4 linked regions of the Anolis sagrei genome follow. The protein of the gene in region 1 purifies or fractionates together with the protein of each later gene. This does not show direct contact. Links are inferred from orthologs where the notes say so. Each region holds a gene or a part of one and is shown in the gene's direction. Other genes may lie near its edges. The genes, in order: MAX, TFDP1, YAF2 and MNT.

The links.
Region 2: the proteins of MAX (region 1) and TFDP1 purify together in Homo sapiens (affinity purification with mass spectrometry; 5 studies listed by BioGRID and IntAct, with this or other methods). This does not show direct contact. The link is inferred for Anolis sagrei from reciprocal best matches to the Homo sapiens genes MAX and TFDP1.
Region 3: the proteins of MAX (region 1) and YAF2 purify together in Homo sapiens (affinity purification with mass spectrometry; 3 studies listed by BioGRID and IntAct, with this or other methods). This does not show direct contact. The link is inferred for Anolis sagrei from reciprocal best matches to the Homo sapiens genes MAX and YAF2.
Region 4: the proteins of MAX (region 1) and MNT purify together in Homo sapiens (affinity purification with mass spectrometry; 7 studies listed by BioGRID and IntAct, with this or other methods). This does not show direct contact. The link is inferred for Anolis sagrei from reciprocal best matches to the Homo sapiens genes MAX and MNT.

What each region holds. Positions count from the first base shown.
Region 1 is NC_090021.1:232,298,964-232,306,564, reverse strand, and holds the start of MAX (protein max), read left to right. Parts: upstream 1-4,587; 5' UTR 4,588-4,866; coding exon 4,867-4,902; intron 4,903-7,601. UniProt on the Homo sapiens protein: Transcription regulator. Forms a sequence-specific DNA-binding protein complex with MYC or MAD which recognizes the core sequence 5'-CAC[GA]TG-3'. The MYC:MAX complex is a transcriptional activator, whereas the MAD:MAX complex is a repressor.
Region 2 is NC_090023.1:108,401,329-108,408,857, reverse strand, and holds the start of TFDP1 (transcription factor Dp-1), read left to right. Parts: upstream 1-4,510; 5' UTR 4,511-4,656; intron 4,657-4,685; exon of another isoform or gene 4,686-4,828; intron 4,829-4,859; exon of another isoform or gene 4,860-4,913; intron 4,914-5,837; exon of another isoform or gene 5,838-5,933; intron 5,934-7,072; 5' UTR 7,073-7,146; coding exon 7,147-7,158; intron 7,159-7,529. UniProt on the Homo sapiens protein: Can stimulate E2F-dependent transcription.
Region 3 is NC_090025.1:136,447,337-136,454,726, reverse strand, and holds the start of YAF2 (YY1-associated factor 2), read left to right. Parts: upstream 1-4,373; 5' UTR 4,374-4,626; coding exon 4,627-4,652; intron 4,653-4,995; coding exon 4,996-5,121; intron 5,122-7,390. UniProt on the Homo sapiens protein: Binds to MYC and inhibits MYC-mediated transactivation. Also binds to MYCN and enhances MYCN-dependent transcriptional activation. Increases calpain 2-mediated proteolysis of YY1 in vitro.
Region 4 is NC_090031.1:25,878,612-25,886,318, reverse strand, and holds the start of MNT (max-binding protein MNT), read left to right. Parts: upstream 1-4,690; 5' UTR 4,691-5,155; intron 5,156-5,166; exon of another isoform or gene 5,167-5,425; intron 5,426-5,911; 5' UTR 5,912-5,965; coding exon 5,966-6,038; intron 6,039-7,707. UniProt on the Homo sapiens protein: Binds DNA as a heterodimer with MAX and represses transcription. Binds to the canonical E box sequence 5'-CACGTG-3' and, with higher affinity, to 5'-CACGCG-3'.

The sequences.
Region 1 (7,601 bases):
AGGGATGGAAGGGGATGAATGAAAAGAGAAAAAGGGATGGGAGAGGGAAAAAGAAGGGAGGGAAGAGGGGAAAGGGATGGCTCTCCTTCTCTTTCTGCTTTTGGTGCACGCAGAGCTTAGCTCTCCTGCTTTTGGATACTTCAACCCAGGCTTGCTTCCAAATCAAGGGAGGGAAAGGGCTCATGGCTGGAAGGAAGGAAAGGGGGAAGAGAAGCCTTGTCGCTTTACCTTGCTGGGTGGGCAGAGGAACCTCCTTCTTTCTGCAAACACACACACACTTTGCTCCAGATCCTCTTTCTCTCTCTTCTCTCTTCCTTATTCTCCCCCACGCGCTATCTCTTCTTCCTTCTCCTCCTCCCTCTTTTAGTTCTGACAGCTCTGCAGCAACTTGCACTTCTGGCTTTCTTCTTCTCCTTCTCTTCTAACCCAAGCAAGGATAATGAGAGGCATAGAATCCTAGAAACGCAAGAGACCCCCTCCCTTAAGAGGCTATCCAGTCCAGCCCCATTCTGTTAGGCCGGAAGGCACAAGCCAAGCCCTCCCAACACAGAGCCACCCAGCTCCAGATGAGATTCTGGAGATCGTTGACCAATATCAGTGTTCAGAAAACTCTGGTTTTCCAGTGCTGCCATTCCTATGCTTAAATATGGGATTCTAGAAATGGTTAATATACAGTATACGAGAGTGTTCCCAACTTTTGTCTTCCAGGTGTTTTGGATTTCAAATATTTATTTATTTATCGTGTCATCAGCAACCATTGTTTTACAATTCTAACAGAGCAAAACAAACACAGAGATTAAAATGAAAAAGAAAAGAAAAAAGAAAAAAAAACCACACAGATTTTGTAAATTTGGTATTTGGTTAAATGTCCTTTGACCAGTATCAAATATGTTTTGGTGCTTAATTTGTAAAATCATAATGTAATTTGACACTTAATAAGCTTTTGCTTGATCCCTCCATATTATCCAACATTTTCGCTTATCCAACGTTCTGCCGGTCCGTTTATGTTGGATAAGTGAGACTCTACTGTATATCAAATACCATCTGGTCCAATCCATCAAACACTGTTTTGTTTGATCTGTCTTAAATCTGTCTTAAATTTTTGCCTGTGTGAGTTCTTTAGCTTGACATTTTGCATATCTAAAGAAGGTAATGCCCTGTTTATTGCCCTGCTTCTCTCCTTAGGATTCAGTTTGATGAATGTTTTCTTTGTTCTGTTTATGTGAGCCTTTTCCTGTGTATGTGTGCGAGTTTCTCATGGCTAAATTCTTCTAACATTGAAGAAACTGAGTTTATTTATCTAGCCCTTTTTTTCTATACTAAGTGCAAGGACCAGGCTGTGGCACAGCTAGTTAGTAGCCAGCTGCATTAAATCACTACTGAATGAGAAGTCATGAGGTCGAAGCCAGCCTGGGTCAGAGTAAGCTCCCGACCATTAATAGTCTAGCTTGTTGTTGACCAATGTAGCCTAAAAGACAGTTGCATCTGTCAAGTAGGAAATTTGGGTACTGCTTTATGAGGGGAGGCTAATTCAACTAATTTACGATGCCATAAAATCTTCCAGCAGTGTGCAGAATAATGAGGAAGTACTTCATCAAAGGACTCAGTGTCACAAGTGGACGGTGAAGTGGCAGCTCCCCTGTGGCTGGAACCGAGCATACCCTCATGAAGCCAGAAAAGCTGGAAATGTTAAATTGCCTCTGTGTCTGTCTATTTATGTTTATTATTATTATTATTATTATTATTATTATTATTATTATTATTAAACTTTATTTATACCCCTCCACCATCTCCCCAATGGGGACTCGGTCCAGCTTACATGAGGCCAAGCCCAGAAATGCATTACAACAAAATAAAGCCAAAAACAAACAAACAAACAAACAAACATCACAATAAAACAAATAAAACATAAAAATACAATAAAATAATACAAAAATACAGTAATAGATAAATCACAATCACAGTGAGTGGGCCATATGTACAAGTTAAAATGATAAAAACTCAGGATGAGATAGAAATTAAATGCAAATAATTGTGAAGGAGAAACTCATTGGAAAATGGAGTAATGGAGACAGACCTTCAAACAGGCAGGGGGAAGTACAGTGTGGGGACAGACATTATGGGGGAGCAAACAAAAGGAGATGTAGGGTCACTCTCCAAAAGCGCAGCAGAAAAGCCAGGTTTTGAGATCCTTCTTGAAGGCTGCCTAATCTTACCCAGAGTAGTGGGGCCACGGAGGAGATGGCTCTCTCCGTCATTCCCATAAGCCAGGCCTGTGAGAGAGGAAGGGCGAAAGGAGGGCCTCTCCCGAAGATCAAAGAGAGCGGGCTGGTTTGTGGAAGGAGGTAGGTGGGTTCCAAACTGTTTAGGGCTTTATAGGTGATCACCTGTACCTTAAATTGGGACCGGAAAATAAACGGCAGCCAATGGAGCTCCTTAATGGCATTAGAATCATAGAGTTGGAAGAGACCTCATGGGCTATGGTCCAACCCCCTGCCAAAAAGCAGGAAAACTGCATTCAAAGCACCCCTGACAGATGGCCATCCAGCCTGTTTAAAAGCCTCCAAATAAGGAGCCTCCACCACACTCCAGGGCAGAGAGTTCCACTGCTGAACGGCTCTCACAGGAAGTTCTTCCTCATGTTCAGATGGAATCTCCTCTCTTGCAGTTTGAAGCCATTGTTCCATGTCCTAGTCTCCAGGGAAGCAGAAAACAAGCTTGCTCCCTCCTCCCTGTGACTTCCTCTCACATATTTATACATGGCTATCATATCTCCTCTCAGCCTTCTCTTCTTCAGGCTAAACATGCCCAGCTCTTTAAGCCGCTCCTCACAGGGCTTGTTCCTCAGAACCTTGATCATTTTAGTCGCCCTCCTCTGGACACATTCCAGCTTGTCAATATCTCCCTTCAATTGTGGTGCCCAGAATTGGACACAATATTCCAGGTGTGGTCTAACCAAGGCAGAACAGGAGCATAGTGTCTAGATCCAGGGAAGTCATGATACACCCCTTAGCATGACTTCCCTGGATCTAGACACTATGCTCCTATTGATGCAGGCCAAAATCCCATTGGCATTGGATGTTTGCCATGTATATGTGCATTGCATTCCATCTTGAGTCCCCTGTGGGGTGAGAAGGATGAAATATAAATACTGTAAATAAATAAATATACTATTGCTATTTATTAATCAAATTAAATTAGATTCAAATGAGGTCCTCGTCCTTGTCCCCTTCACTCAGGCCCGTAGCCAGGATTTCGATTCGGGGGGGGGGGGGGCTGAGTTTGTTTCGGGGGGGGGGCTGAGTCTGAGTGAAAGAGGGTCTACCCTAGCAAACCTTTTGTATAGTTACTCCAATACCCCCATGCATATGGGATATATTGAGCATGGTGATCAGATCATGATATGAATAAACATAACAGTTTAAATAATGCACGAGTAAGGCCTTTTCGCGAACCACCATGAGAATTTCGGGGAGGGGGGGTGTGAAGCCCCTCAAGCCCTGGCTACATGCCTGCCTTCACTACAACTCTCATGATTTCAATGGATTGATCCATAGCAATTAAATTGGAGTGAAACTACACTTCTTCCACTGTGTAGACCAGGGGTCCTCAAACTAAGGCCAGGGGCCAGATACAGCCCTCCAAGGTCATTTACCCGGCACTGGCTTAGGGTCAACCTAAGTCTGAAATGACTTGAAAGCACACAACAACACCAATCCTATCTCATCAGCCAAAAGCAGGTCCACACTTCCCGATGAAATACTAATAAGTTTATATTTGTTAAAATTGTTCTTCATTTTAATTATTGTATTGTTTTTTAAGTGTTTTTTGTATTACAAATAAGATATGTGCAGTGTGCATAGGAAAGCATGAATGCTTTTTTCAAATTATAATCCAGCAGCTTGAGGGACTGTGACCTGGACCTCTGTTTAAAAAGTTTGAGGACCCCTACTGTAAATAAATATACTATTGATTAATCAAATTAATCAATTGATTAATTGATTAATCAAATTAATTGAGGTTCAAATGAAATCCTCGTCCTTGTCCCCTTCACTACAATTCTCATGTTTTCAATGGATGGAGCCATAGCAATTAAATTGGGAGTGAAACTACGCTTATTCCACTGTGTAGACGCTCCTCAAGTGGTTTCTAAACGTGACACGTCGTGCTGTGTTGTTGTTTGTGCCCCTTATTCTCTTTGACTACAAACAGCCAGGGTCGGGTTACATAATCGGCACAGCTTCCTTCCCTCTTCGAATCTCTCTCCTGGCTCTTTAAAAGAACGAGAAAAACACCGTCCAGAAGCGAAAGGGGGGAGGTGGTTAAAAGCGTCCCCTTCCGGCTTCCATCCACGTGTCCTCTTCCTCAGCCTGCCGGGAAGCAGAGCCCTTCCTCTTTCGCTCAGGAACTCCGTTTCCTATCAGCGACCGCTGAGCCAAGGCGCATGCGCGCGCGGCGGCATCCAACGCCCGCCCCCGCCCAAGAGGCTCTCGGGAAGGGTAGTTCAGAGCGGCGTGCTCTCGCGGGCGCTGTGCTGGCGGAAGGACTTCATCCCCCGGCATGCTTTGCTGAGTCGTTGGATGTATCTGTGGTAAAAGAAGGGAGAAAAAAAGAGGGGGGGCATTCGTCACGTGCGGCGCGAGGTGCGTGTTCCGTTGATGCTGGTGAGGGAAGAGGAGGAGACGACGACGACGACGGAGGAAGAGGAAGGAGGAGGAGAAGAGACGGCGACGCTGTTGCTGCCAGGGGCCTGTTGTCGTCGCCGACGCCGTCGCTGTCGCTGCTCCTCTCCGCGGCGGCTCGGCCCAGCAAGGCCCCGGAGGAGACCCCGCCGCCGCCGCCACCACCACCGCCACCGTGGGCAGCATGAGCGACAACGATGACATCGAGGTGGAGAGCGACGTGAGTTTCCACCGTCCCGCAGAGAGGCTGCTGACAGTAGTGGCGCCTCGGCCCCTCTCTCGTTCGCCCTGCCTCACAGCCAAAGGTTCAGTCTGCGCGACGCCTCTCTGCCTTCCCTTCGCTTCAATGGGGCCCCTCAGGAAGGGAGAAGCCCCCCCCCAGTAGGCCCCCCGGGGTGAGGGAGGGAGGGAGGGCCTGCTCGCCCCCGGAAGTAGTAAAGGGGAGGGAGGCGGGGTCAGTTGTGTCTGGGAGGAAGGAGGTTGGAATCGAGGTAGGCCTGGGACGTGTTTGGGTAACTGGTGGGAGAGGGGAGGGGGATGAGGAGGGAAGGAGTTGGGGGGAGTTACGATGGGGAGTTGGGGACAGTGGGCAGCTGGATTCGAAGTCTTGTGCCTTTCTAAATACTCCTAGGATTTGGGATTTTGAGTACATGTTTGGCTAGACGTGGGTGGGATTATGTACAGTGGCATAGTAAGAAAATGGCAAAATAAAGGTTTGAAATTGGAATACTGTTCAGTATGCGTTGGCTGGGGGTGGGTGGGTAAGAGGAAAGGAGATGGGAAGGATGTTGCATTGTGCATTTTGTTTGTGTTTAATTTTTTTAAAAAATTGTTTTATATTGGTCTGGTGTATTATTCTTGGGCTTCTCCTCATGTTACCCACCCCGAGTCCCCATTGGGGAGATGCTGGCAGGTGTAAATAATATTTTATTTATTTATTTATTTGGTAGTTTTGTATACCGGTCTTCTCACCTCCATTCGAGGGACTCGGGGCCATTTCCAACATCAATATTACAGACCGCCATTAAAACATAATATTTCTAAATCACACTAAAACATTAAAATATTGAAACAATTAAAATGACAAAAATACAATCATATGATTACAGTGGTTAGTCGTCATCAAAGTCATTATTCGTCGTCATCCATCCATATCACAGGATCACGGCTCATTCATTGAATGCCAATCCCCAAAGCCAGGTTTTCACCTGTTTCCTGAGTGTTAAGATCGAAGGGGCAGTTCTGATCTCCAGTGGAAGGGAGTTCCAGAGTCAAGGGGCCAACACCGAGAAGGCCCTGTCTCTCGTCCCCACCAGCCGCGCCTGTGAGGCCGGTGGGATCGAGAGCAGTGCCCCTCCAGAAGATCTTAGTAATCTTGATAGCTCATAGGGGAGGATTCGTTCGGACAGGTAAATTGGGCCGTATAAAACTTTTATACCCCAGTCTTCTCAACCTCTACAGAGGGACTTGGGCCGGCTTACAGCATAAATTAGTACACAAATACAATTAAAAACATAATCACATCAAAAAGTTAAATACAACAGAATAAATTCACAAACCAAGTCGCCAAGATAAAATAAAATAAACTTTATTTCTATACCGTCGTATCTCCCCGAGGGGACTCAGGGCGGTTTACAACAGAAGATTGGCAAACATTCAATGCCGGCATAACATAAACAAATCAAATCAAATCATAAACAATAAAATAAACAACATCAGGTGTACTTATAGAACAACTCAAAAATAACAAACTTAGATATTTAAATATATAAATCAAACATTTAGAACATGTTTACTACTAGATCTAATGATAGCAAACACTCAAACATTATAAGTAAAAAAGGCATTTACAAGTCAACAGGGCTGAGGTGGTGTCCAAGTCAGAGTGATTAAGGTGCTGGCCAGGGCTGAGGTGGTGTCCAAGTCAGAGTGATTAAGGTGCTGGCCAAAGAAAACTCTTATTATTAATGAGATGGAGGGGATTGATAAGGGGGGTGGCTCTTCTGGACTCTTGGGCCAGTTCTTAAACACGCTTCTGGAATGAGCTTCGTGTATTCCAAGTAGACTGGAACGTACTTAGTCCAAATCTTTTTGATACTGGTTTTAAACCACTTAATTGGATGTGTTGCAATAGCAGATTTCCAGGTTAGTTTAGTGTTTACACCTTATTTTATTTTCTGGTTATTTAATGTTTATTTTGCTTAAGTGATATTTGTCTTTACTGTTCTAATGTAGCTCAAATCCTATATAAAATCATAGTATGTATTTTTGACATTAATATTGAAATCTGAAATATATACAGAAAGTGTTGTCTCTTTGCAAGTACAGTGGAGTCTTGATTATCCAACCTTCGCTCATCCAAAGTTCTGTATTATCCAATACAGTCTGCCTGTTTCAATACATTGCAATGTTTTGGTGCTAAATTCATAAATACAGTAATTACTACCTAACGTTACCATGTATTAAACTGCTTTTTCTGTCATTTGTTGTAAAACATGATGTTTTGGTGCTTAATTTATAAAATCATAGCACAATTTGATGTTTAATAGGCTTTTTCTTAATCCCTCCATATTATCCAACATTATCCAGTGTTCTGTCATCCCGTTTGTGTTGGATAAGCAGATTCTACGATCCTTTATTTACCAGCTGCTGTCCGTTGAACAATTTGAAGCTTCTTGGTAATTTTTGGGATTTGGTTCCAGGACTCTCATTGATACCAATATCTGTGAATGCTCATATTCCATTATATAGAGTAAGATTGTATTATCGTGGTTCTTAAGTAAAAATACTTTATTTCTAACCTGCCCTCTCTCCTGGGGGGGACAGGACTCAGGGTGGTTAGTAACAAAAATGGCAGACATTCACTGCCTAAAACAGACAAACAACAAGTCAAGACAAAAATAATAAATAAAACAATCT
Region 2 (7,529 bases), on another chromosome or scaffold:
GTCATTAATAAAGATGTTGAACAGGACCGGGCCCAGGACGGAACCCTGGGGCACTCCGCTCATCACTTCTTTCCAAGATGAAGAGGAAGCATTAGTGAGCACTCTGCGTTCGTCCACTTAACCAATTACAGATCCACCTCACCGTAGTTTTGCCTAGCCCACATTGGACTAGTTTCCTTGCCAGAAGGTCATGGGGGACCTTGTCGAAGGCCTTACTGAAATCCAGGTACGCTACATCCACGGCATTCCCCGCATCTACCCAGCTTGTAACTCTATCGAAGAAAGAGATCAGATTAGTCTGGCATGACTTGTTTTTGATAAATCCATGTTGACTATTAGCGATGACTGCATTTGTTTCTAAGTGTTTGCAGACCGCTTCCTTAACAATCTTTTCCAGAATCTTGCCCGGTATCGACGTGAGGCTGACCGGACGGTAGTTGTTTGGGTCATCCTTTTTTCCCTTCTTGAAGATTGGGACCACATTGGCCCTCCACCAATCTGCTGGAACTTCTCCCATTCTCCAAGAACTCTCAAAGATGGTTGTCAATGGTTCCGAAATGACTTCTGCTAGTTCCTTCAATACTCTGGGGTGTAGTTGATCTGGCCCTGGGGACTTGAACTCATTAAGAGTGGCCAGGTATTTCTGGACGACTTCTTTCCCAATTTGGGGTTGGATGTCCTCCAATCCCTCATCCACTCCATCTTGCTGAGGTTGAAGACTCTCTTTTTGTGAGAAGACCGCGGCAAAGAAGGTATTAAATAGTTCTGCCTTTTCCCTATCCCCTGTCAGCATTGCCCCATCTTCTCCTCGAAGAGGTCCTATCACCTCCTTGTTTTTCCTTTTTATTGTTTTTAATGTCCCTGGCAAGTCTGAGCTCGTTTTTTGCTTTAGCCTTGCGGACCTTTTCCCTACAGGTGTTGGCTATTTGTTTGAATTCTTCTTTGGTGATTTCTCCCTTTTTCCACTTCTTGTGCATGTCTCTTTTGTGTCTTAGCACAGTTAGAAGTTCTTTGGACATCTATTCTGGCTTCTTTGCACTTGTCCTATTTTTTCTCTTTGTTGGCACGGTTTGCAATTGCGCCTTGAGTATTTCACTCTTGAGAAATTCCCATCCATCCGTAACTCCCTTGTCTTTTAGTATCTGTGTCCACGGAATGCTGCTCAGCGTTTCCTTCATTTTTTGGAAATCAGCTCTCCTAAAGTCCAAAATGCGGGTTTGACTTGTCTTAGTTTCGGCCTTCCTTTGTACCTCAAATTGCAGGAGCACATGGTCACTTGCCCCTAAGGATCCTACCACTTCGACCGCATCGATCAGGTCCTCCGCATTTGTTAGGATGAGATCAAGAGTAGCCAATCCCCTTGTTGCCTCTTCTACCTTCTGGACCATGAAATTGTCTGCAAGGCAAGCGAGGAATTTGTTGGACCTTGTACTCTTGGCTGAGTTTGTTTTCCAGCAAATATCGGGATAGTTGAAATCGCCCATGGCTACTACATCTCTTCTCTGTGCCTGTTTGGTCAACTGTTGGCAGAAGACTTCATCAAGTTCTTCCTCCTGGCTTGGGGGTCTGTAGTAGACGCCTACAACGACATCTTTTTGAGTCCCAGTTCCCTTGATTCTTATCCAGATGATTTCAAGCTGGTTTCCCAGATTGCTGTCTTGAATCTTCTGCAGCATAAGAGTTTTTGACATATAAGGCTACTCCGCCTCCTCTCCCCTTCATTCGGTTTCTGTGAAAGAGGTTAAACCCCTCGATATCTACATTCCAGCTATAGGAGTCATCCCACCAGGTTTCAGTGATCCCTATGATATCATATTTGTGGTGTTGTGCTAAACGTTGGAGTTTGTCTTGTTTATTTCCCATGCTCTGTGCATTAGTGTAAAGACATGTGAGCCCCTGAGATCTTCCCTTGAGCTGTTTAATTGGGATTATTGTGCTTTTGGTACTTGGTCCTTGTTGTGTTTGTGCAGCCCTCCGTTTAGCCTTCTGGCGATTCCCAGACATTATGGGTAAAGTAGTGTTCGCAAGTGGCTTCTGGTGTGAGCCCCCGGTGGCACAGTGGGTTAAACCCCTGTGCCGGCAGAACTGAAGATAGCAGGTTTGAATCCGGGGAGAGGCGGATGAGCTCCCTCTATCAGCTCCAGCTCCTCATGCGGGGACATGAGGGAAGCCTCCCACAAGGATGATAAAACATCAAATCATCCGGGCGTCCCCTGGGCAACGTCCTTGCAGACGGCCAATTCTCTCACACCAGAAGCGATAAGCCAAGGTGACCATGTTGGGATTCATACATTGGGTACATGAGAAGACATGACTCAGTAGAAAAGATAATCATGCTTGGTAAGGTAAAAGGCAGCAGGAAAAAAGGAAGACTGCGTTACAGGTGGACAGATTCAATGAAGATGTTTATGTAAGATTTGAGTAGGGCCCTTGATGGTCAGAGATGTGGATGTGTCCCATTTATGAAGCTGCCATAACTCAAACTTGACTTGATGGCAGTTAACAAGAAATGATTTAAGGGTTTGCATTATTTTCAACTTCTAATACGGTAAGTAAAGTTATATGCCTGCTTAAACAAATGAATTAATAAAACAATATATTTAAGCCGATTAAGAATTAAAGCAGGTGAACCTTTCCAACATTCAACCAAACTGTAGAGGTTTGTTATTCAAGTAGAAGGGTAAGAATGTTATTTTAGGTACCAAGGAATCCAAAAGCATTGATCCCCTGCATGACATCATAGCCTACCAGTTATGCTTGCAATAGCCTCTTTAATGGCTTTATTGGATTTAAATATGCTTTTTAATAGTTCTTTATTTTAATGTTTATGTGCTTTTGGCATTAGTCTGCATTTTGTTTGTTATTTTTTTAGTGTTTGCTGCTTTGAGTTTCCTTGGAGGGAAAAAAGCAGGACTTAAATACTTATTATTTTTATTGAGGTTGCCTGGCCCTAGGTGCCTGTTTTTTTCCATGTACTAAATATTGATTCCTGCATAGCATGCTTTTTTTTTTTTCAAATTACAGCCCTGCCCCCACATCTGCAGGTACTTTATTTGCAGATTTGATTTAAACCTCGCTAGGATTTTCTAGGTCAGGCATGGGCAAACTTTGGCCCTCCAGGTGTTTTGGACGTCAACTCCCACAATTCCTAACAGCCTACCGGCTGGGTTGCCATGAGTTTTCTGGGCTGTATATGGCCATGTTCCAGAAGCATTCTCTGCTGCATCTATAGCAGGCATCCTCAGAGGTTGTGAGATCTGTTGGGAACTATGCAAGTGAGGTTTATATATCTGTGGAACGTCTAGAGTGGGGAAAAAACTCTTGTCTGCTTGAGGCAGGTGTGAATGTTGCAATTGGCCACTTTGATTAGCACCGAAAGTCCTTGCAGCTTCAAAGCCCGGCTGGTTGCTGCCTGGGGGAATCCTTTGTTGGCAGGTGTTAGCTGGCCCTGATTGATTGTGCCGGCTATTAGGAATTGTGGGAGTTGGAAGTCCAAAACACCTGGAGGGGTGAAGTTTGCCATGCCTGTTCTAGGTCCTCCAGTTCGAGTTTATGATCATCATTCGCAAGACATCTGGCCATACAGCCACGTGGGAAGACCGTGGGTGCATACACACTGTAGTATTAATGCGGTTTGACACCACTTTTAATTGCTATGCCCCAATGCCATGGAAACATGGTGATGGGGCATGCACTTTGCATGTTCTGCGACTTACAGTCCTATATAGCGTTTATAAAATCTTATAAACTACATCTCCTTCAATGGGAGCGGTAGTTTCACAAGGTCTTCTGGCTTCAGAGAAGGCTGAGGAGACATGAGAATATGAGAGGAAGTCATAGGGAGGAGAAATATGTCCAGAGGGCGACTAAAATGGTCAAGGGTCTGGAGAACAAGCCCTATGAGGAGCGGCTTAAGGAGCTGGGCATGTTTAGCCTGAAGAGAAGGCTGAGAGGAGACATGATAGCCATGTATAAATATGTGAGAGGAAGCCACAGGGAGGAGGGAGCAAGCTTGTTTTCTGCTTCCCTGGAGACTAGGACGCGGAACAATGGCTTCAAACTACAAGAAAGGAGATTCCATCTGGACATGAAGAATTTCCTGACTGTGAGAGCTGTTCATCAGTGGAACTCTCTGCCCCGGAGTGTGGAGGCTCCTTCTTTGGAGGCTTTTAAGCAGAGGCTGGATGGCCGTCTGTCGGGGCTGCTTTGAATGCGATTCTCCTGCTTCTTAGCAGGGGATTGGACTGGATGCCCCACGAGGTCTCTTCCAACTTCAGTATTCTATGATTCCCTGGTTCAAAGAGCGCCGGCGCCTCGCCAAAACTCCAGCTCCCCGGATGACAGGCCTTGAGTCTCGCGAGGGCGGCGCGCGGCGCGAGGCCCCACTGCCACCCTCGAGAGCCAGCTGGCTCTCGCGCTCTTTCTTGGCCTTCCCGCGCGCGCACTTCCCCGGGAGAAAGGGAGGCGTGGTGGAATCCCGAAGGCGCGAAAACTTTGCGCATGCGCTTCCCCTCCCTCCTAAACGTATGGCGCTGAAGGGATGGAAGCAGAAGGAGAGAGGGAGGGAACTTTAATCTCCCCGCGTGTGGCTATGTGGGGCACGTTCCACTCCGTGACGTCAGCGCGCAGCGTCACGCCGGAGGGACGCACGAAAGTGTAAGTTTCAATTCTCCCCCCCCCTCTTTCTCCCGTCTTCCTGCCAACTGCCAAAAAAAAAAAAGGAAAGGCAGTAACGGCAGCGGGGTCGCGCGCAGGAAAAGGGGAGGGCGCGCGCGCTGCCCAGAAGCCCTCCCTTCATGGAGGAGGAGGAGGAGGGAGCGGGAAACAGGTGTGAAAACAGGGGGAGGGGGAGGAGGGAGGGGGCAGGGCGAAGAGAAGGAGGAGGAGGAAGAGGAGCCAAGGTGGTGCTGGTGGTGAGGAGGCGCTGGGCTTTGGCGGGGGATGATGGCGCTTGTGGGAAGAGGGAGGCCTGCCTCGCGTGTTTGTGGGGGTCCCTTCTCTGCCCCCCCCCCTCCCCACCAACTTCAGGAACTGTTATGAGGCAGCACTGTGCTTTGTATTATCATGGCTTGAATCACTGGGTTGCTGTAAGTTTTGTGGGCTGTATGGCCATGTTCCAGAAGCATTCTCTCCTGACGTTTCGCCTGCATCTATAGATGCAGGCGAAACGTCAGGAGAGAATGCTTCTGGAACATGGCCATACAGCCCAGAAAACCTACAGCAACCCAGCACTGTGCTTGTATCTCAGGGAACCAATGCAGACCTGGACAGCATGAAGGACCTGCCAATTTTGAGTGGAGGGACTGATTCCCTTGTAGCCCCATCCTCTCCCCCTGAATGAAGACTTGCAAGCTGTGGCAGGAGGCATATGCAAGGGAGTCCACACTTTGATCCAAGTCAACACTTTCACCCTCCCCCTAAATGCACCCCTTCCTTGGCTTTCCTTTCCTGACCACTTTTTGGAGTTCCTTCTGGGGAAAAAAACAGGCGCAAAAGATCAGGGTTACTTTTTTCTGTGTTTTTGAGATATATTTTTTCTCCTAATGGTTGGCCCGCCTTTTCTTATCAGGGCCAGTGCAATTGCTACGGTGGCAGAGGCCTCCCTCCTTGCCTGCCTGCCTGCCTGCCTGCCTGCCTGCCTGCCTTCCTTCCTTCCTTCCTTCCTTCCTTCCTTCCTTCCTTCCTTCCTTCCTTCCTTCCTTCCCTCTTCCTCCTAATTTCTCCCCCTCTTTGCCACTTTGTCTTGTGTGCAAATGGTGGTGTTGCTGCTGCTTCCCTGATCATCTTCCTCCCCACAGCCCGCCCCCCGAGGGGGTTTTGAGGAGGGCCGTGCATTGCACATGTGCAGTTGGCATCTCTGGCTCTCTCTCTCTCTCTTCCCCTGCGTTGGGGGATGGAGTTTGCTCTCGGATTCTCCTCTTCTGGTTCTTCAGGTACTCTTTTGGGAAAGAGGCAGAAGGGGGCAGCCAGGTGGGGGGAAAGCCTTTGAGGCAGGAAGAAAACAGCTTCCTCCTTCCCCTTTTCTCTCTTTCTTCTTCCCCCACCGCCTTGCCTTCCCTTCCCCCTTCCCTTCAGTGGGGGTGAGCTTGGTGCATGGGTGGCCCTCCTTCTCCCTGCCTGTCTGCCCCTCTCTCTCTTTCAGTTGTACTGCTGGGCTAGACTTCTAGGGCTCTCCCTCCCTCTCTTTCTGAGGCCCGGGGGGAGGCTGGCAGGGCTTGTTCTCTGAAGCACAGATGCTGCAGCCTGCCTGCCTTTTTGCACAGGGAACTGGGAGCACTAGCTTCCCTCCCTTTTCCCTTACGCCATATCATCGAAGGGACTGGACTGGGCCTTGCTTGCATGTTGGAGGTTGGGTTTTGTTTTGAGCTGGCAAAGAGTGCTGCTAAAGGGAGTTGGGCCCCTGAGGCCTAGCAACTAGGTTGTGAATGGTCAGGCACATAGCTTAGTCTTCCCCTCCTTGCCCACTTCAGGGCAGGCCAGGTCTGTTTGTGCATGAAGTATAATTGTGCTTCTCAAGGGGGTCTAATGCAGAGCTGGACATGACTTAGGCCTCCATCTACACTGCACATTTAATCCAATTTCAAATAGGTGTTGAAAAAAGTGATTACAGAAGAAATCCAGGAACTAGCTTGAGGCCTGGATGGTGAGGACACAAACCACAGAGCACTGATATGCATTGAGGGTTTGCTTTTGCATGCTTTTGTGTGAGTTTGAACTTCATTAAATGGTTAGTGTAGACGGGGCCTATGCTGCATCTGCACTAAGCTTCCTCTTGCCCACTTCAGCGTGGGACATGCGTGAGCCATAATGTAGAGCTGGACAGGTTTAATCTCCCTCACCACCCAAAAAGGAGGAAATCCTCTTCTGTCAGTTTGAGTTGTATTATGTTCTCAAAAGAAAGATGCAATATTCTTTTTTAAAAAAACAGAGCTTGTCAAAAATCTGAAGGTTTCAAGCTTTTACTTTAAGCCTGCACTTTGAACTCTTTGGCAGAAAAACCTAATTTTAATTATTTCAACTCTAAATTGATTTTCAGTATGCTAGCTTAATTTTTTTTCTTTTCTTCTTTCAGAATATAGAACTGCTTCTTCTGTTTATCCTGTGGCAACAACGCAAGTAAAGAATTGATTTCTTGGACTTGATAACATGGCAAAAGATGTAAGTATGTCTGTTTATAATGATCCTACAAACCCACATGTTAACACAAGGACTAACAAATAATAGGAATTCACTTTGATCCTATAGATGTGCATTGAATCAACAGTAAGTATTCAATAAAGTAGTTGTAGCCTTGAATCTTGCAGTGACATCTCCAGGGTTTAATAATACGGGTCTGTTCTGTGCTACACAACTAGTCATAGGTGTCAAAGAGATTCCTAGAACATATGGCAGTACTACTCTTACCTTGACTAAAATTACTTTATTATATCATGTATAACAGGTTGTAATCTCTACTAGCGCAACATCTCTGGGAATATATTGCTGTGTATTAGTAGTGGTATTAATTGACATTATTTGGCAGTGGTGGC
Region 3 (7,390 bases), on another chromosome or scaffold:
ACAACACGGACAATAAACAGATATCCCAAATAATGGGCATCAGTCGGTACAGGTTGAGTGTCCCTTAACCAAAATATTTGGAACTGGAAGTGTTTTGGATCTGATTTTAGATGGTGGGATGTCTGTATTTGCAGATTTGTACATAATGACATATCTTGGAGAAGGGACCCAAGTCGAAACAAGAAATGCATATAGCCTGAATGCACTCTTTTATAGTAATTTTTGTGTGAAGCAATGTTTATGTAAATTGAAGCATTAGAAGCCCTAGTGTGGATCCAGCCTCATGTGGACAATTTTAGATTTGGGAGTATTTCAGATTTCCAAAGTCCGGATAAAGGATGACCAACCTGAACTGATTCTGGTGCCTCCACCTTGCTAGTGGAGTGGGCTGAGTTTATAGCAGTAACAAGCTGTCGGTACTTCAAAAATTTATTTCCAGTTACTGACTCCAATTCCATTTTACTCGAACAACCGGAGGGCTTTCACAGAACATCTTATGACTTCCTACACAAGACACCTCTCAATAGTGGAGACTGGTCATGACGTCCAATCTATTATTTATTTATTTATTTATTTATTTATTTATGCGCTTGTATACCGCTAATATCTCAGCCTAAGTCGGCGACTCATTGCGGTTTACAACAACTAAAAAGTTAAAAACAATTAAAAAACAGTATTCAATTTAAAACATGAAACACATATCTATATGTAAGATAAATCACTCATTCTATATTCTTAAGACTGCAGAAACTATACTTGCAATGGAGTGGACTGAGTGTGTAGCAGCTATGCTTAATCGACAGTAAGAAACTGTAGGTCACACACTTTTTAGACATGCATCACTTCATGACTAGGAAAGTGGAAGTTAAACCAACGCCTTATAAAAGATATAGACATATATATCACTTGTAGTGAAACATGAAAACTTTTCATTTATATTTTTTAAAAATTACTGATTTATTGCTAATTCCACATTGACCACGTGGTTTCTTGTTACCTTCATGCCACACAACTACACACTGCAGCTGATATACTAATGTGTCGCGACACTTAGTTTGAAAGTTCTGCTGTATGTACTTTAGAAATGTATTCCCACTAACTCCAAACCCATTTCACATTAACCAGTGCTTGGATTTCACAGTATACCTCATGGCTTCTTCAGTGGTGGACACTGGTCATGACCTCCAATCAGACATCCTCTCAACGCAGCCAAAGCCAAGCTTTCTAAGGTTTGAGCCACCCTAGGACTTCTTAACCTTTTCGGACCCCTTTCTGCCTGAAAAGAGTTTGTATGACCCAAGGTATATATACAGATAAAACAGGTATACAAAGCAAACATTTACTGATAACCAGCATTTGCAAGGCTTGCTAAACAGGCTGATTTTCCATTTTTATGAAGCACAGCTAAAGCATTTCTTGCAGAGTCCACTGTAAACATTGTAGGTTATTAACTGATTTGTGTAAATGGACAGATTCAAAAACCTTTCACAGTTGCCAAATTTTTCATGATCCCGACATCGAGTTGAAAGGAGACTCCATTTGAGGTTGGGACGCAGTTTACAAAGCAGTGATTTGCACTGTTGGATAACGCAGTCCAAAGTCCAGTATATGCTCAGTGTAGCTCTAGCCCAAGCCTCACTATGGGCCCTTCTACATAGCTGTATAAAATCCAGATTATCTGCTTTGAACTGGATTATCTGGCAGTGTAGACTCAGATAATCCAGTTCAAAGCAGATAACCTGGATGATCTGTCTTGATATTCTGGATTATAAGGCAGTGTAGAAGGGCCCTGAGTGTACTAATAGGAAACAAGACAGTGCTTGTCTGTGTGGGCCCATTCCACACAGCTGAATAAAATCCCACATTTTCTGCATTGGATGAGCTCCCTCTGTCAGCTCCAGCTCCCCATGTAGGTACATGAAAGAAGCCTCCCACAAAGATGGTAAAACATCAAAATATCAGGGCATCTCCTGGGCAACATCCTTGCAGATGGGCAAATTCTCCCACACCAGGAGCGATTTGCAATTTCTCAAGTTGTTCCTGATACACACACAAAAGAAAAAACAAACAAACTCAAAACTATGGGGATCTTCATTGCCAGTGTCTGCTTTGAACTGGATTTTCTGAGTCCACACTGCCATACATTCCTGTCCAAAGCAGAAAATGTGGGGTTTTATTCTGCTGTGTGGAAGGGGCCTGGGTTATGTCTGTGGGCCCTGCCACACAGCCTCATATCCTAGAATATCAAGGCAAAAAATCCCACATTATCTGATAACCCAGTTCAAAGCAGATATTGCGAGATTTCCTGCCTTGAGATGAAGGTTTTAATCCGGATTGGTGACAGATGAGGCCAGGCCCGTAGCCAGGATTTTGTTTGGGGGGGGGGGGCTGAGTTTGTTTGGGGGGGGGTGCTGAGTCTGAGTGAAAGAGGGTCTACCCTAGCAAACATTTTGTATCGTTACCCCAATACCCCAATGCATATGGGACATACTGAGCATGGTGATCAGATCATGATATGAATAAACATAACAGTTTAAATAATGCACCAGTAAGGCCTTCTTGCGGACCACCATGAGAATTTGGGGGGGGGGGGGGGCTGAAGCCCCCCAAGCCCCCCCCCCTGCTACATGCCTAAATGAAGCCCATTTAAGACCCCTTCTACACTTCCCTATATACCATAATCCAATCCCCGATTATTATTTGCTTTTGACTGAGGGTCCTTCCACAAAGCATGAAATCCCACAATATCTACTCTGACCTGGGTTATCAGATAATGTGGGATTTTTTGCCTTGATATTCTAGGATATGAGGCTGTGTGGCAGGACCCACAGACATATAAACCAGGCACCTTCCACACAGCAGAATAAAATCCCACATTTTCTGCTTTGGACACTCAGGTAATGTGGGATTTTCTGCCTTGATATTCTGGGATGTAGGGCTCCGTGGAAGGGCCCTGGGTTATCTGAGTCCACACTCATATAATGTGGGATTTTCTGCCCTGATACTCTGGGATACAGGGCTCTGTGGAAGGGCCCTGGGTTATCTAAGTCCACACTTATATAACGTGGGATTTTCTGCCTTGATATTCTGGGATACAGGGCTGAGTGGAAGGGCCCTGGGGTATCTGAGTCCACACTCATATAACGTGGGATTTTCTGCCTTGATATTCTGGGGTGTAGGGCTCTGTGGAAGGGTCCTGGGTTATCTAATTCCATGCTCATATAATGTGGGATTTTCTGCCTTGATATTCTGGGGTGTAGGGCTCTGTGGAAGGGCCCTGGGTTATCTGAGTGGGATTTTATATAACGTGGGATTTTCTGCCCTGATATTCTGAGATACAGGTCTGTATGAAATGGCCCTGGGCCTACATCCCATATCATATCCTAGAATATCAAGGCAAAAAATCCCACATTGTCTGATAACCCAGTTCAAAGTAGATATTGTGGGATTTCCTGCTTTGTGGAAGGACCCTCAGTCAAATGCTCCACACTCATATAATGTGGGATTTTCTGCCCTGATATTCTGGGATACAGGTCTGTATGGAAGGGCCCTGGGTTATATGAGTCCACACTCATATAATGTGGGATTTTCTGCCTTGATATTCTGGGATTTAGGGCTGTGTGGAAGGGCCCTGGGTTATCTGAGTCCATGGTCATAAAATGTGGGATTTTCTGCCTTGACATTCTGGGATGTAGGGCTCCGTGGAAGGGCCCTGGATTATCTGAGTCCACACTCGTATAATGTGGGATTTTCTGTCTTGACATTCTGGGATGTAGGGCTGCATGGAAGGGCCCTGGGTTATCTAGGGGCCTTTCCACACAGCCGTATAAACGAGAATATCTAGGCAAAAAATCCCACAATATCTGCTTTGAACCGTGTTTCCACACTACCATATATTCCAGTTGAAAGCAGAAAATGTGGTGTTTTATTCAGCTGTGTGGAAGGGGCCTAAGTCCACACTGAGGTAATGTGGAAGGATCCCCCAAGGATCCTAAGAGGGCAGTGTGGAAAGAGGCCTGAGGCTGCGGCCTTCCCTGCCTAAAATGAAAGGCGAAGGGGAGGGGGAATGGCGCTGGTGTCACGGCCGAGGCCTGTGTGGAGAGACAGAAAGAGAGAGAGTGGGAGGGAGAGGGGGGGAGAGAGAGAGAGTCGGCGCAATAGTCGCCCTTCGAAGCCATTCCCCTTCGTGAGTGTGTGTGGTGGTGTGTGTGTGCGCGCGAGGGGCCCCTCCGGCTGCCTCCCCTTGCGCCGTGCTCGCGCCGTGCGCCTGTCTCGCGAGCGGGGATCCCTCTCCGGCTGCCCCCGCCGTCGCCTGGGCCTCGGCCTGGTTGGCGACCGGGGAACACGTGAGGGAGGCGGCGGGCGGGCAGGCAGGCGGGCGGGCGGGCTGCGGGAAGAAGGAGAGGGAGGAGAAGGCGAGGCGGCGGCCGGAGTTCCCCCAACAGCTGGAGGTGGCCGCTCGCTCCAAGTTGTTGTGTCGGCCGCGGCTCCTCCTCTTTCTGCTCCCCTTGCTCGCTTCCCCTCAGCAGCAGCAGCCGCCTCCTCCTCCTCCTCTTCTCGCTCCTCCTTATTGACAAATACACAAAGGGCCGCAGCCGCCGGGCTGGAGACGCGTCTGGAGCCGGCATGGGAGACAAGAAGAGCCCCACAAGGTGAGCCTGCGAGGAGGGCGGCCAGGGGGTTGTTCTCGTGAGGGGCTTCTTCCTCGTCGCCCTCTCTCCCGCCTCCTCTTGTGGCGCGATGGCGGGGAGGCGAAAAGGGACGAGGAAAGGAGAGGAAGCCTGATCACTAGGCCAAGCGAGAGGAGGAGAAGGAGAAAGAGGAGGAGGAGGCACCGGCGGAATAGGTCTCCTCGGGTCGCTTACAAAAGCCTCCCGGTGCCTCTCTCTCTCTCCTTCCCCCGCTCGCTCTCCCCTCCTTATCCTTCCTCCCCTTTTCCCCTCCTCCTTATCCTCCCCCTCTTTCTCTCTCTTTTTATTTCCCGATTCTTTTTAGGCCGAAGCGGCAGCCGAAACCCTCCTCCGACGAGGGCTACTGGGACTGCAGCGTCTGCACCTTCCGCAACAGCGCCGAGGCCTTCAAGTGCATGATGTGCGATGTGAGGAAGGGCACCTCCACCCGGTGAGTGAGCGAGAGGAGACACACACACACACACACACAGCGAGGGAGAGGCCTGAGTGAGTGGCACCGCAGCCCTCCTCCAGCAGAACGGGAGGGAATGGCGGCGAAGGGAGGGAAAGGCCCAAGGAGGCTGCAGGGAGAGCAGAGAGAGAAGGAAGGGAGGAAGGATGGCGGGGAAGGGACAGCAGAGCCGGCCACCATCGCAGCCTTGCTCCTGATCGCCGCCTTTTCTCGGCAAGGGTGACAGGAGGGAGTGGAAGGGATTCCTTTCGCAGGGCCCTTGCACACAGCCCTATAACACAAGAATATCGTGGCAGAAAATACCACAATATCTGCTTTGAAGTGGGTTAACTGAGTCCAATTCAAAGCAGAAAATGTGGGATTTTCTGCCTTGATGTTCTGAGTTATAAGGGCCCTCAGACAACCCAGTTCAAAGCAGATATTATGGGATTTCCTGCCTTGATATTCTGGGTTCTATGGCTGTGTGGAAGGGCCCTCAGATAACTCAGTTCAAAGCAGATATTGTGGGATATTTGGCATTGATATTCTGGTTTTTGTGACTATGTAGAAGGACCTTCAGATAACCCAGTTCAAAGTAGGTATTGTGGAATTTCCTGCCTTGATATTCTAGGTTCTATAGCTGTGTTGAAGGGCCCTCAGATAACCCAGTTCAAAGCAGATATTTTGTGGAACTTCCTGCCTTGATATTCCGGGATATAGGACTGTGGAAGGGCCCTCAGATAACCCAGTTCAAAGCAGATATTGTGGAATTTCCTGCCTTGATATTCTGGGTTCTATGGCTGTGTGGAAGGACCCTCAGATAACTCAGTTCAAGGCAGATATTGTGGGATATTTGGCATTGATATTCTGGGTTTTCTGACTATGTAGAAGGACCTTCAGATAACCCAGCACAAAGTAGATATTGTGGAATTTCCTGCCTTGATATTCTAGGTTCTATAGCTGTGTAGAAGGGCCCTCAGATAACCCAGTTCAAGGCAGATATTGTGGAATTTCCTGCCTTGATATTCTGGGGCCCCTTCCACATAGCTGTATAAAATCCCAAATTTTCTGCTTTGAACTGGAATATATGGCAGTGTGGACTCAGGACCCTTCCATACAGCCCTATATCCCAGAATATCAAGGCAGAAAAATCTCACAATATCTGCTTTGAACTGGGTTATCTGAGGACCCTTCTGCACAGCCCTATATCCCAGAATATCAAGGCAGAAAACCCCACATTATCTGAATGTGGACTCAGATAACCCAGTTCAAAGTAGATATTATAGGATTTTTGGCCTTGATATTCTGGGGTTCTATGGCTGTGTAGAAGGGCCCTTAGATAACCCAGTTCAAGGTAGATATTGTGGAATTTCCTGCCTTGATATTCTGGGGCCCCTTCCACATAGCTGTATAAAATCCCACATTTTCTGCTTTGAACTGGAATATATGGCAGTGTGGACTCGGGACCCTTCCACACAGCCCTATATCCCAGAATATCAAGGCAGAAAATCCCACCTTATCTGAGTGAGGACTCAGATAACCCATTTAAAAGCAGATATTGTGGAATTTCCTGCTTTGATATTCAGGGATATAGGGCTGTGTGGAAGGGTCCTCCAATAACCCAGGATCCATCCACACAGCCCTATATCCCAGAATGTCATGGCAGAAAATCCCACATTATCTGAGTTTGGATTTAGATAGCCCAGTTCAAAGCAGATATTGTGGGATTATCTGGCCTCCAATAACCCAGGGCCCTTCCACACAGCTTTATATCCTAGAGTATAAAGGCGGAAATATCCGCTTTGAACTGGGTTATCTGAATTCACACTGCCATATATTCCAGTTCAAAGCAGAAAACGTGAGATTCTCTGCCTTGATATCTGGGTTATATTGCTGTGTGGAAGGGACCTGGGATACATATTAAGCATCTCTTATCCAGGATTATGAAACACAGTAGACTCTCTAGGGATTGGTAGACACTGGATATAAGTGTCCTTTCCCATTGCTTCAGGGTTACTGTTAAAAATAGGCCCAACTGAAATCTATGCCTCATACTATACCGTGTCATATGCTCTGTACAGGCAGTCCTCAAGTTACGAACATGATCAGTTCTGTAGGTTTGTTCTTAAGTTAGATTTGTATGTAAGTCAAATAATAATAGTAATAATAATGGAATACCATGTATCAGTTTCTTTCCAAATGAATAACTTAACTTCCACATGTTATTTACAATATTGCTGTATAAAACATGGTTTCTATTGTTTTCATT
Region 4 (7,707 bases), on another chromosome or scaffold:
TCCCAGAAGGTGTTACTGGGTGACACCTGTTCGGCCCCACAGCCGTTGTCATGTGGAGTCCCACAGGGTTCAATTCTGTCCCCAATGTTGTTTAACATCTACATGAAGCCGCTGGGGGAGATCATTCGGAGTTTCGGACTGAGATGTTATCTCTATGCAGATGATGTCCAGATCTGTCACTCCTTCTCACCTGTCACCAAGGAGGCTGTCCAGACCTTGAATCGGTGTTTGGCTGCTGTATCGGACTGGATGAGGGCTAACAAATTGAAATTGAATCCAGACAAGACAGAGGTCCTATTGGTCAGTCGTAAGGCCGAACAGGGAATAGGGTTACAGCCTGTGTTAGACGGGGTTACACTCCCCCTGAAGACGCAGGTTCGCAGCTTGGGAGTGATCCTGGACTCATCGCTGAGCCTGGAACCCCAGGTCTCAGCGGTGGCTGGGAGAGCTTTTGCACAATTAAAACTTGTGCACCAGTTGCGCCCGTTCCTTGGGAAGTCTGATCTGGCCACAGTGGTCCACGCTCTTGTTACATCCCGAATAGACTACTGCAACGCGCTCTACGTGGGGTTGCCCTTGAAGACGGTTCGGAAACTTCAACTGGTCCAGCGAGCGGCAGCCAGGCTGCTCACTGGGGCGACATACAGAGAGCATACCACCCCTCTGCTGTGTCAGCTCCACTGGCTGCCGGTTCAGTTCCGAGCCCAATTCAAGGTGCTGGTCTTGACCTACAAAACCCTGTACGGTTCCGGTCCAGCGTATCTGTCCGAACATATCTCCCTCTACATCCCACCACAGAATTTAAGATCATCTGAGGGGGCCCTGCTCTCGACTCCACCGCTTTCCCAAGCAAGGCTGGTGGGGACGAGGAGCAGGGCCTTCTTAGTGGTGGCCCCCCACCTGTGGAACTCACTCCCAGTGGATATCAGGGCATCGACATCACTCCTGTCCTTTAGGAGAAAGGCAAAGACGTGGTTGTGGGACCAGGCCTTCGGGCAATCTGCTAACTAGATAGGACAACCAGGCAATTAGGACCGGCAGGACTGATATATGTGGACTGATAAATGTGGAAGAAAACTCTGAACCATGAGATAGCGAACACTGACTGGCAAGAAGGAAGAAGCGGTTTGTATCGGTTTGTATGAAATTTTATTGGTTTTATTGGTTTTAACGGGTTTAGATGCAATGTATTGTTGTTGTTGTTGTTTGCTAATTTGTTATTTTGTTTTATTGCTTATTATTGATGTATGCTATGGGCATCGAATTGTGCCTTGGATGTGTAAGCCGCCCTGAGTCCCCTTCGGGGTGAGAAGGGCGGGGTAAAAGTAAACCAAATAAATAAATAAATCCAAGTCAGGTGGCCTTTTGCAGTTGACAGATCATGATTTTGTTGATGTTTATTGTTTCCAAATGCCGGCTGAGATCTTTTGGCACGGCACCCAGTGCGCCAATGACCACTGGGACCACCTGTACTGGTGTATGTCAGAGCCTTTGCAGTTCGATTTTGAGGTCTTGATAACGGCTGAGTTTCTCCTGTTGTTTTTCCTCAATGCGGCTATCACCCGGTATGGCAACATCAATAATCCAAACTTTTTTCTTTTCCACTATTGTGATGTCTGACGTGTTGCGTTCCAAAATTTTGTCAGTCTGGATTCAAAAGTCCCACAGTATTTTTGCATGTTCATTTTCCACGACCTTTGAAAGTTTATGATCCCACCAATTCTTGACTGCTGGCAGGTGGTCCTTGTGACATAAGTTCCAGTGAATCATCTGGACCACAGAGTTGTGCCTCTGCTTGCAGTCCATCTGTGCGATTTTCTTGCAGCAGCTGAGGAGATGGTCCATGGTTTCATCTGCTTCCTTGCACAGTCTGCATTTTTCGATCCTCAACTTAATGGCATTGGTTCTGATGGCTTGCTCCTCAGCTGCAAGAATCAGGCCTTCTGTCTCCTTCTTCAGGGTTCCATTTGTAAGCCATCACCAGGTCTTCTCCTTATTAACTTTTCCTTCAATTTTGTCAAGAAACTGCCCATGTAAGGCTTTGTTGTGCCAGCTGTCAGTTCTGGTTTGGAGTGCAGTTTTCTTGTACTGACTCTTTGTCTGCTGTGCTTTAAGAAGTTTCCGATTATTGACTTCAATTAAAGCAAGCTCTTGGTTTTCCTTGACATATTCTACCAGGGCATCGTGTTTTTCTTCTTCAACGGCTTGCTTTACTTGTAAAAGTCCTCTGCCCGCAGATAGAGCCAGTCAACATCACTGCGATGATATAGTGAATTATGAATGGTCATGAGTTTTCTTGTTTTTCTGTCCAAATTGTCCAGTTCTGCCTGCGTCCAGTTTATAATGCCAGCAGTATATCTTATGACAGTATGGCCCTTACTACTCTTGTAGCGAATATTATTACTATTATCGTCATTGTGCTTAGTACAATTACAATTGCAATTCTTATTGTAAATATTTTTCAATTATTGTTGCAATTATTATTGAAATGCTTATAGTAATTGTTGCAAGTGTTATTGTAATTATTACTGCAATTCTTATTATTGTAATTCTTACTGTAAATATTGCAATTCTTATTCTGGTAATTATTGCAATTCTTATTGTAATTATTATTGCAATTCTTATTATTGGAATTATTATTGCAATTCTTATTGGAATTCTTATTATTATTGCAATTCTTATTGGAATTATTACTGCAATTCTTATTGTAATTATTGTAATTATTACTATTGTGCTTATTTTATTAGTTATGTAGATTATTTTTGCAATTATAACGGCAAATGTGATTACTAGTTTTCTTTCCCAAATTCTCTCCAGCAATCCGGATTCGACTTGCCTTTTTTTCCTGCAAAGGCAATTGGGATCTGGACTGTTTTGCCTGTGATCTCATCTGACGCCACAGGAGGCAACCCACACTCAACAAAAACCGCCTTTCCTGTTTTGCTGCACACATTCCTTCCCCCCCCCCCCGTCCTTATCACGCATTCCGGATTCACGTGTTTACTCCTTCCCCCCTCCCTCCGGAAATAGGGCGCGGCTCCTTTAAGGAAGGGAAATAGGGCGCGGCCCCTTTAAGAGCGCCTGCTGCCTCCTGACTTCCCACCCGGCCATGACTAGACAGATTGTCCCAGATGGCTCCACCCTTGCCTCGCGCGAGGCGAGTGGGCGGGGCACGATTCAAGCCCCGCCTCCCACTCAGCACGCTCTGGGGAAGGAAGGCGGGGCTTGAAGGGCTTCATGCAAATGAGGTCTCAGTTCCTACAATAAGATAAGACCTGCGTCCTACTCAGCACGCTCTGGGGAAAGAGGGCGTGGCTTGAGGGGCTTCATGCAAATGAGGCAGCACTTCCTCAAATCAGTAGGGGGGAGAGGCGCGTGGGCGGAGCATAAGACAAGCCCTGCTTCCTACTCAGCACACACTGAAGGAAAGGGCGGGGCTTGAGGGTGCTTCATGCAAACGAGATAGCATTTCCTCAAATCAGTAGAGGGAAGAGGGAGCGGCGGGTGGGCGGGGCATAAGGCAAGCATGCTCTGAGGGAAAGAGGGCGGGGCTTGAGGGCACTTCATGCAAATGAGATAGCATTTCCTCAAATCAGTAGAGGGAAGAGGCGGGTGGGCGGAGCATAAGATAAACCCAGCGTCTGAGGAAAAGAGGGCGTGGCTTGAGGGGCTTCATGCAAATGAGACCGCTCTTCCTCAAATCAGCAGGGGGAATAGAGCGAGGTGGGCGGGGCATAAGACAAGCCCCGCCTCCCACTCGCCACGCTCTGGGGGGAATTTATTTATCGTGTCATCAGCAACCATTGTATTACAATTCTAACAGAGCAAAACAAACACAGAGATTAAAAAGAAAAGGAAAAAGAAGAAAGAAAGAAAAAAAAAAACCATACAGATTTTGCAAATTTGGTATTTGGTTAAATGTCCTTTGACCAGTATCTGGCCACTTGGAGTGCCTCTGGGGTTGCCGCAAGAAGGTCCTCCATCGGCAGGGCTTGAGGGTGCTAGCACTTCCTCCAATCAGCAGGGGGAGGGGCGCAAGGAGAGTGGGCGGAGCATAAGGTAAGCCCTGAGTCTGAGTGGAAAAGAGGGCGTGGCTTGAGGGAGCTTCATGCAGATGAGGCCGCACTTCCTCCAATCAGCAGGGGGAAGAACGCGAGGCGGTTGGGCGGGGCATTAGACAAGCACGCGCTGAGTGGAAAAGGGTGCAGCTTGAAAAGAGGGCGTAGCACTTCCTCCAATCAGCAGGGGAGGGGCCAAGGAGAGTGGGCGGAGCATAAGATAAGCCCTGCGTCTGATGAAAAGAGGGCGTGGCTTGAGGGGCTTCATGCAAATAAGGCTGCACTTCCGCCAATCAGGATTGGAAAGAGCACGAGGCGGTTGGGCGGAGCATAAGACAAGCACGCGCTGAGGAAAAAAGGGCGTGGCTTGAGGGGCTTCATGCAAATGAGGCCGCACTTCCTCCAATCAGCAGGGGGAAGAGCGCGAGGCGGTTGGGCGGAGCACAAGCCTGAGTGGAAAAGAGGGCGCTTCATGCAAATGAGAGAGCACTTCCTCCAATCAGCAGGGGGAAGAGCGCAAGGAGAGTGGACGGAGCATAAAATAAGCCCTGCGTCTGAGAGGAAAAGAAGAAAAAAAGGGCGTGGCTTGAGGGGGCTTCATGCAAATAAGCCCACACCTTCCTCCAATCAGCAGGGGGAGAGGCGCAAGGAGAGTGGGCAGAGCACATCAGCCCTGCGTCTGATGAAAAGAGGGCGTGGCTTGAGAGGCTTCATGCAAATGAGGCTGCACTTCCGCCAATCAGGATTGGAAAGAGCGCGAGGCGGTTGGGCGGAGCACAAGACAAGCACGCGCTGAGGAAAAGAGGGCGTGGCTTGAGAGGCTTCATGCAAATGAGGCCGCATTTCCGCCAATCAGGAGGGGGAAGAGCGCGAGGCGGTTGGGCGGAGCACAAGACAAGCACGCGCTGAGGAAAAGAGGGCGTGGCTTGAGGCGCTTCAAGCCAAGGAGGCCGCATTTCCTCACACCAGCAGGGGGAGGAGCTAAGCCTTGCCTCACACTCCTCACACTTGAGGAGGGAAAGCGGGCGGGGCTTGAGGGGCTTCATGCAAATAAGGCCAGAAGGACGAAGCGAAGGAGGAGGAGCCTAAGCAGCGAAGTAAGTAGAACAAAAGAAGGCAAGGGAAGGGAAGAGAACCAGGGCGCGACTTGAGGTGTCCTGTCCCTTTAAGAGAGGCGCCGGCGGGGGCCCGCGGCGGAGAGTGCCCATGTGGAGCTGCTCCATGCCTTGTTGTCCTGTCACGCCATTGGCCAGGGAGCGGGTGACGTCATTGAGCAGCACGCGGACGCAGTGCGGGGGGGAGGATCGGGGGCAAAACCCGGAGGTGGAACTCCCCGGAATGGGTGATTTAAACCAAAGCGACGGGAGGTGAGGAAACAGCGGCGCGAGGCGACACATTGAACCAATTGGATCAGCCTCATGTGTTGCCTGAGTGAGCGCTCAAAGCATCAACGGCTGGCGCGGCTCGAATTCCATTAAGAGAGGAGTCCAGTCCGGGTTTTGCTTCCCCCCGCGGGGATAGTAGCAGAGGGCCGTGTCTCTCCCTCTCTCTCTCTCTCTCTCTTGTTGTGTTTCTGTTACGCATCGCCATCTTGTTACAAAGCCTTCTTCTGGTCGGGTGGGAGGGGGCCGCGGAAACGGGGGCCGGAAGGGGCCAAAAAGGCTTGGCTTCAGCCCGGATTGGTGTGCTCTCTCCCCTCCAGAAGAACCACAACAGCAGCAGCAGCAGCAATAGGGACCCTCTTTGGCAGAACAAGCCAAGCCCTTCTTTGCACATTCGAGACAGAGAGATATACCTATCTATCTATATATTTATATATTTTTCCTTATATATATATATTTTGGGATCCTCAGACTGCCCCCACCCTCCTGCTCCTGCTCCTCCTTTTGGGACTCCCACCCCGAGAAATGAGCATTGAGACCTTGCTAGAAGCGGCCCGGTTCCTGGAATGGCAAGCGCAGCAACAACAGAAAGCACGTGGTAAGTGGAGTCACTCCGGAGTCAACCCGGATCAGATGCGGGGGGAGGGGTTGCACCTCTTTTTTCCCTTCTGCCTAAATGGGGAGCACTTCTCCACCTTCTCCCCCAATCTCATTATTATTATATTGTTCAAATTGGATTGGGAGAGAGAGAGAAAGAGCTTTGGGGGAGTCCCATGACGTCATCACTTGCAAATGCCATTCCCACCCTTGTCTGATGGTGATGAATGCCTAATTAATCACATTGCAAAACAGGGGCTGGATGGCCATCTGTCAGGGGTGATTTGAATGCAATATTCCTGCTTCTTGGCAGAATGGGGTTGGACTGGATGGCCCACCAGGTCTCTTCCAACTCTAAGATTCTATGATCTAATTAATAAGACTCATATGACTGTATTGTCAGTTTCTTTGGAATGCCTCCCCTCCCCTCTATCTTCATTTCAATTGGCTGTCAGCACAATAATAACCATAATAGGGATATTCATATTATATTATAATATTATTATTGTAAGTCTTGCCACTCTTTATTATTATACTATATTATTATGCAGTTTCTCATGTCACTCCTGACACACACAAAATATATTAATATCAGCATAACAATAACTATCATAGGCATTGAAGGGATATTCATAAATAATATATTATCTATTAATATCTATTTAATGTGACTAATATTAGCAGTTTCTTTGTCAGCACAGTAATAAACATAATAGGGATGTTAATATTATTATATTATATTATTATTGTTAGGATATTATTATTGTAAGTCTTGCTATTCTTTATTATTATATTATGATGCAGTTTTTCACGTCGCTCCACGTAACAATAACTATCATAGGCATTGAAGGGATATTCATAATAATATATTAATATCTATTTAATGTGACTAATATTAGCAGTTTCTTTGGAATGCCTCCCCTCCCCTCTATCTTCTATTCAGTTTGCTGTCAGCACAATAATAAGCATAATAGGGATATTTATATTATATTATTAGGATAATATTATGTTATATTATTATATTATTAATAAAGATTTATTATTATATTATTATTAGGATATTGTTATTTTATTATATTATTATTAATAAGGATTTATTATATTATTATTATTATGATATTGTTTTTATGTAATATATTATTATTAATAAGGATTTAATATTCTATTATTATACAGTTTCTCAAGTCACTCCTGACACACAAAAAATATATTAATATCAGCATTACAATAACCCTCATAGGCATTGAAGGGATATTCATAATAATATATTATCTATTAAAATCTATTTAATGTGACTAATATTAGCAGTTTCTTTGCAATGCCCCCCTCCCCGCTATCTTCATTTCAATTGGCTGTCAGCATAATATTAACCATCATAGGAAGTGAAGGGATATTGATAATAGATTATTATTATATTAATTATTATAGTGTTCATAATTGTATATTATATTAATATTGTTAATATACCGTAGTAATATATTAATATATCATATTAAAAAAAATTATTTACGGCATGGATATGCCTCCCTTCTCACCCCGAAGGGGACTCAAGAGTGGCCTACAAAATATATTTGCATACAATATATTATATTATTAGCATAGTACAATATCAGTATTGTATATTACTATATTACACAATCCATTATATTGTAATATTATTAGTAATATTA